Danio rerio: one gene and its partner. The protein of the gene in region 1 purifies or fractionates together with the protein of each later gene. This does not show direct contact. Links are inferred from orthologs where the notes say so. Each region holds a gene or a part of one and is shown on either strand. Other genes may lie near its edges.

What was found. Proteins that work in one complex are often made in the same cells at the same time.
Region 2: the proteins of prkcq (region 1) and chuk purify together in Homo sapiens (affinity purification with western blotting, with the first as the bait; 3 studies listed by BioGRID). This does not show direct contact. The link is inferred for Danio rerio from reciprocal best matches to the Homo sapiens genes PRKCQ and CHUK.

What each region holds. Positions count from the first base shown.
Region 1 is NC_133179.1:26,076,537-26,080,203, reverse strand, and holds part of prkcq (protein kinase C theta type), read right to left. Parts: intron 2,742-3,667; coding exon 2,632-2,741; intron 1,822-2,631; coding exon 1,683-1,821; intron 64-1,682; coding exon 1-63. UniProt on the Homo sapiens protein: Calcium-independent, phospholipid- and diacylglycerol (DAG)-dependent serine/threonine-protein kinase that mediates non-redundant functions in T-cell receptor (TCR) signaling, including T-cells activation, proliferation, differentiation and survival, by mediating activation of multiple transcription factors such as NF-kappa-B, JUN, NFATC1 and NFATC2.
Region 2 is NC_133188.1:28,585,369-28,589,035, forward strand, and holds part of chuk (inhibitor of nuclear factor kappa-B kinase subunit alpha), read left to right. Parts: intron 1-1,360; coding exon 1,361-1,485; intron 1,486-1,597; coding exon 1,598-1,705; intron 1,706-1,787; coding exon 1,788-1,923; intron 1,924-3,667.

The DNA of each region.
Region 1 (3,667 bases):
CAGGCTCTTCAAGACTGGGTCTGCGTCCGTCAGCTGGAGAGTCCCATGAAATACCTTGATGCTCTATGCAAGAACGAAGAGTTGGGCATCAATCAATCAATCAATCAATTAATCAATCAATCAATTGATCAATTCTAAAATGTATTGAGTTGCTCAAGGGAATATTTATAGGGATTAGATAATTGACCATAAGCATAGTCTTAAGCATTCATTTAGTATTTCAAGAATAAAACGAGATGGAATAGAATTAAATCAAACGTCTATGAAAATGAAAATAATATGTTCATATTTTAAAAACATGGCATTGCACAATGCATTATTATGTAGTGTTTTTTTATAGCAGATGACGCTATATGCAAGTTGTGAACAGATGGTGTTCTACTTTTTACTTTTTACTACTTTTTAACAGAAGATGGTGCTATAGGCTATGTTTTAATAGTCTATGGCGCTCTGGGCTAGTTTTTAACAGCAGACAGAACTCTAGGCTAGTTTTTAACACCTGATAGTGCTTTAGGCTAGTTAGCAACAACTAGACTAGTTTTTAACTACAGATGGTGCTCTAGGCTAGTTTTTAATAGCATATGGCGCCCTGAGCTAGTTTTTAACAGCAGAAGGCACTCTAGGCTAGTTTTGAACAACTGATAGCGCTCTAGGCTAGTTAAAAAAATAAGACTAGCTTTTAACAACAGAAGGTGCTCTAGACTAGTTTTTAACAGCAGATGGTGCTATATGCTATTTTTTTTCTGGGCTAGTTTTTAACATCAGACAGCGCTCTAGGCTAGTTTTTAACAACTGATGGTGCTCTAGGCTAGTTAGTAACAACTAGACTAGTTTTTAACAACAGAATGTGCTCTAGACTAGTTTTTAAGAGCAGATGGTGCTATAGGCTAGTTTTTAATACCATATGGTGCCCTGTGCTAGTTTTTTAACAGCAGAAGACACTCTAGGCTAGTTTTGAACAACTGATGTTGCTCTAGACTAGTTTTTAACAGCCCATGGCGCTCTGGGCTAGTTAATAACAACTAGACTAGTTTTTAACAACAGAAGGTGCTCTAGACTAGTTTTTAACAGCCCATGGCGCTCTGGGCTAGTTTTTAACAGCAGAAGGCAAGCTAAGCTAGTTTCGAACAACAGAAGGCGCTCTAGACTAGTTTTGAACAGCAGATAGCTCTAGGCTAGTTATTAAGATGGCACACTAGGCTAGTTTTTAACAGCAAATGGCAGTCCAGGCTGGAAGCAAATGCCGGTATAGGCTAGTTTTTAATAGTAGTCACTGCAAGTTAATAACAACAGATGGCACTCTAGGCTAGGCATTTACAGATGGTGCTCTATGATGGTGCGCTATGCTAGTTTTTAAAAAAGCAAATACTGCTCAAGGCTAATCTTTAACCACACACTCATAAGGATGAGCACTTGTGTGTTCAGCAAAATCATGCAAGCTGCTTTTATGTCACTAGATTAATGTTAACACAGCCCACACTCGAGACTTATTTACTCAAACCTTTATTCCCAACTTTATAAATGATTATTTTAAGTTCAAGTGGTATTTATGAATTAGGATGCAAGCAGGATACGGCTCTTTGTAAACCATACAGCAACTTCTGCTGCTAAAAACGAAGCATGAATCAGAATTGATTCATGAGAAAATAGCGGTGCATTTTGAAAATCTCATAAGCAATTACCTTTGCGTGGTAGCGGTGGTGCAGGCGTAAGGGGGGAAATCGCTAAGCGTCCTGAAGGCTCTCTAATGACCCCTGGTTGATCTGCGCTGACCGGACCCTCTCGACCAACAGTCTCAGTATCCCGGGAGCTCCGAGCTTGCTGTAAAATTTCATTTCATTTTATTTAATATTACTCTTCTATTTAATTTACATTTTTACACTGTTGTCTGTGATGCTCGATTCAAATTTGTCAGTTGCGAAATTTGAAGGTATGTTATTCCCAGATAACATCTGCTGAATAAAACAGGCTCATCTTGGAACTTTGAATCAATCTACCATTAGTGAATATGTCCATTAGTTCAAATTTATATACATACTTCCACATTCATATGTATCTGCTTGTCTGTCCCGCTGCTACATTTGACTGTTTGACTGTTATCTTGTGAATAAATAATATGTAAGGTTAGTCTATGCTTTATTTCATTTCTGTCAGTTTGTGTTGTTTGTCACCATCTTGTGACTCAAAGTGCAGGTTATTGTATTGTAACAGCCAATAAGAATCAGAATTCTGTTATTTCAGTGGTAAATCAAAGTCTAAATGTTTCCACCTTGACATAGTTTTATTTAGATTGTAAATAAATGTAAATGTAGATTTAATTATATATTAGCTGTTAAAAATATCTATTATGACCTGTTTATTTTTGTATGATTATTACATAAATAGTTTAAATAATTGCGGATAAAATCGTTTGTTAGTTTTATCATAAGAAATGTTGATATTTATATTATAAATGTTGCAATTGTAACAAAGATATGGCATATGGAATATTTTTCTAGTATCATGCAGCCCTATACACATCTTAATTCAATTTTGTGATTAATTCCTCACGATAATTTCTACAATCTTCCTATTTAAACGACCGAACAGCGGTAAAGGGCATTGACATTTGTTACATGCTTGTTTTCTAACCTGTTGAGTGCTCTCAATCATAGCCAGGGCCTCTGCCATTAGCTTCTGGTTGACGCCACAAAGGTTTGCTACTTTCTTCTGACATTTATGGTGAACGTTCATGCCACACTCTGCAAAGAAAACATTAAAATTAGTAAACCGAAACTTCATGTAGACATTAAACATTATTAAGTATATTTATATTTAATAATAAGTCATTCTTGTTAGTTTTAGGGTGAATTTGCACTACACTGCTTCAGAGGTTTTCAGGTAAATGCCTTATTTAATGTGCCTTATTGGCTTTTTAAATGCCTTATCAAAGTGCCTTATAGTTTTTTTTAATGAATAATTACATTTTACTTTTAATATCCATTTATATAAGCATTTTTTAACAAGCGTGGACAGATGTAGAACATTTTGGCTGATACTGATATTTCATTTTTAAATGTCATTTACAAATTGAATTTCTGAACTCTTCTTTTTGCTAACATAAACTCAGGCATTTGTTTTCTGAATGTTATGTATCATGCAGTACGTAAAGCACAAATCAACAGCATATATCTAAAGTGTAGAAATAACTCCTAATTTATTGGCTAATAATTAATTTTCTTTTTGGATTACAATGACAACATTATGCCATTACCGTAATGGCAGCTATTGATATGACCTCCGATGCATATGGCAATACTAATTTCTAATTTATCATCTTGTGGACCTCCATTACCATATCTATTCTGTTCTGTTAAAGACATCTGTACTGCAATGTCAGTGTACTATAAAAAGAAAAGAGGAAACACTATAAAAAATGCTGAGTTCCATGGTCCATATTGTCACAAAACAAATCGATTAAATTAACATAATAATTTTTTACAAATTTAAGTGGATTGAACTTAAAATAATTAAGTTGTCCGAAAAATACCTTAAGAATTGTGTTGTTTTAACTCATTTTAAATAAGTAGTTTGAACAAGTAGTTAAAGTAATTTTTTGACTCCAAATCAAACTTTAGACTCGCATAGCCAGATAAATTGTTAAAAAGTAATTACCTACTTAAATAAC
Region 2 (3,667 bases), on another chromosome or scaffold:
CAATTTTATCTATGCGACCTCAAAATATATTTGGGAGCATTTGTGTAAGAGCATAAAATTGTTGTGTGCAACCAGTTTTTACTGCAAAATGTTCACCACATGCACGGATTGGGTAGACATTCACACAGAATGCATCTTTGCACTTGAAACGCAGTGCGCAGGAAGGTTTTTAAACAGTTGTCAACATGTCAACTTTGCGTCAGTAAACAAAACCAAGTCTGTAATGCTTGCCCCGCCTTCACGCTTTTCTTATTGGCCCTCTGCTCTAGAACTGATCGCAAGTGGATTGGTTAATATCAGCTGTCAGTCACAATCACTCAGTCAGTGTTTTATGGCTTGGGATGACAGGGAGAGCTACTACCTTAAAAATGTAAAGCACTGAAGATGGGAATGAAGATAACACTGACAGATTTTGTTTTAGAAACCATGGCATCTAAAGTTAGAGATAATGACACATCTTAGTAGTGATCATGTGCTGAATGTTAATCCACCATCTACACTTTTCGAAGTTTGGATGTTTTTTTGCTATTAACATTGCTATTAAAAGACTTCCATTGGCTTCAAGTCCACTATGAAAAAGTCTGTGGGATGGAATTTTAAGGTAACTGTTTGCCACATCTAGCACGAGAGGTTCTGTTTAATCCTTTATTTAATCACTAAATGTTGTCCGCCATGCAAGTGGCAGCTATATGTAACGTTAAAATTTAACACAACGTACACCATCACAAATGGGCTTGCACTGAGTAAACAAATATCGCTACTCGTGAAAAGACCGGTATTGCTATAAACATGACGTATGCATATAATAAGGTACAGTATATGTCAAAAGCATCAGTGCAATATCAGACACCATCCAGGAGAACAGCACAGTTACATGATTAACAGATTCATTCATGTCAAGCAGTGCGTGCAGGGCCGGTGAGCGGTCCGTGTATCTTTTGGTCAGTCAGTTATGTTATAAAAATGTATTTTCTTGTGATAACGGGGTTTCGTTGAGACATATTTTCCTCCAGTATGCATATATATTTTTTTGCTTGTTAGCTTGATTAGTGTTGATTTCAAATGCAATAAATCTGTTTCTATAAAACTTGTAGTAACGGTGCTTATTATTGGTGTGTGGGACTAAATTATGGCTGATGCGCCTACATTTTTGAAAAAAAGGTTAATTTAGAGCCCTGATTTCACAATTATCGATTGATAAAAATAGATTTATTTTTAAAATCCTGTTCACAAAAAAAATCTACTTTAAAATGTGAAAAAAGAAGTAAGAATTGGATCCAATGTTCAGATTTATTCATCTTTATACATTCTTATATTTTTAAATATTCTTATAATAAATTGGCCATGCCATTTATTTCAGGCTCCAGAGCTTTTTGAAGGCAAGTCCTACACAGTCACTGTGGACTTTTGGAGCTTTGGCACCATGATCTTTGAATGCTGCTGTGGATTTCGTCCATTTCTTCACAATCTTCAGCCTGTGCAGTGGTATGTGTCCTCATAACCTGCATGCTGATAATGCCATCTTTCATATACCCTTTCTTCAAGAGGAACCTAGCCATATAGTTGCGTATAAGTAAGCATATATATTTTTTTTTAGGACAAGCAAAGTGCGAAACAAAGGTCCGAAGGATATAATGGCTGTGGAAGATATGAATGGCGAGGTCCGCTTTTCCACCCACCTTCCATACCCAAACAATCTTAGCAGGTACACTTCATACAATTAAAATATATATTAACATGTGTTAACCCGTTATTTCTGAGTTATCAATTTGTTTTTGTTTCCACAGGACACTACTGGAGCCCTTGGAAGGCCTTTTACAGCTGATGCTCAAATGGGACCCTGTACAGAGAGGATTAGGACTGAACACAGATTCAAAACAGCCCCAGTGCTTTGTTCTTCTAGATCAAATACTGAGCATGAAGGTTTGGCATTGACATTATTACATCATTTCTTTATGATGTCTTTAAGATTTATATCTATGCTTTATTTTATACAGTTTGTCTGGTTTGTTTAGTGGTGCCTTCTTTTTGTTGTCATGAATGTGTGTTTGTTTTTTTAACAGTGGTTTTAAAAATGTCATCAGCTATTTAAGAGATGTCTTATTCTGGTTGCCAAGAGTTACACATTTTTCTGCATGTAGTTGAATACGTTATTCATAACCTTCACTTATTTACCCAACCATTTAATAACAGACGTGGAGAAAAATTTCAAGAAAAATAATAGAATAGAATGGAATCTTAAAATTAAAGTCGTTACATGTGAAGTCATTGTGTATCACAAAAAAACTCTTAATGTCTGAATGTTAAAATTAGATGTTAATACAGTCATAAAAGTTCAAGAAAAAAGTCATTATTATGCATATTTCGATGTTATGCATATTTTTAGCAGAGCACTGGCTTGAGAGTAGGAAAGATAACATTCGCCGTGGTACCTTCTCACTCAAACCACTGCTTGCTGCTTCCTCTAGTTGCTTATCGAGAGAAAAGCTGCTTATAACTGTTGGTTCAGGATCAGTATTTGCCACAGATATTTAAAGTGAACTCAGATTTATATAGATCGCATGATCTGGTCCTTCCATGTTTGGCTTGATTACCTGGCTTGCACCCTATTTTAATTGACCATCAAGTTTGATCTTTGGACTTTGTGGACAATGTAGATAAGTTTTCAGCATGGTAAAAGCGTCAAATGTGTTTATTTATCACTAGTGTAATATAAAAGTGAACGAAAAGAGAGTCACTCTAATGAAGTTGTGAAGAACATTTGATGTTTAACTTTGCGTGTCAAAAGCAAGTGAATAAATGCATAGATACACTGTTTGACAAACTCATTTGTAATTAATAGTAGCTTACATCCGTGATTTTGGTGCGACTGTTCATGTCTAAAGTGAACTGGATAGAAGTCCTTTAAGGCTTTCAGGTTTTACGGGTGCAGCTGCAGCTCTGTCTGTGCACCCTGTATTTTACATTCTTTGCACATTACTTTTGTGTTGTGCGAGCATATGCATTATGTCCTGTGCCATGTGAATCCCTTTCAAGTTCTTTATCTGGTCACTCACCGCCTATGTATAAAACTCTTAACCCACCACTCCCAGAATTTCAAACTCACCCAAGGGTCAAGAGTAAAGAGAGAGAGACTGTGGTTGAGTCTTTCATGCTAAACATATGATGACCTCATTGTAAACTATCTAATCTAAAACATTTTCAGTTTACACAGAGAACCTGTTATGACAAAAATGAAAGTAAAAGTGAAACACCTCTGCGCATTTAAATGCAAAATCAGTACCCTGCATATTGATAGGAGCTCTCTGATGTCTGGAAATGATGTACAAAGTTAGCTTTTTTGCTTGAGTAGATACTAAAATTACAGTAGTAGGATTAATTAAACAGTTTCCCATTCAATTCAGCACCATAGCCATGGACAGCACCTTGCAGCATTTTTTTTTTTTCTAAATGTAAATTTTTTTCACCCCAAAAAACACAATTACTTTATTCTTAAAATTTTAGTTAGAGGTTTCTTTTTTTTTTACATTTTATGTGTTCTTGTATTATGATTATATGAGTTTAATATTGCATTATAATCTCAAGATTTAATTAAGTTTTGTCTTTTTTACTATTGCTTTGCCCTAATCCTCATAGTTGACAATAATTATTTGAAAAATAATGCTTG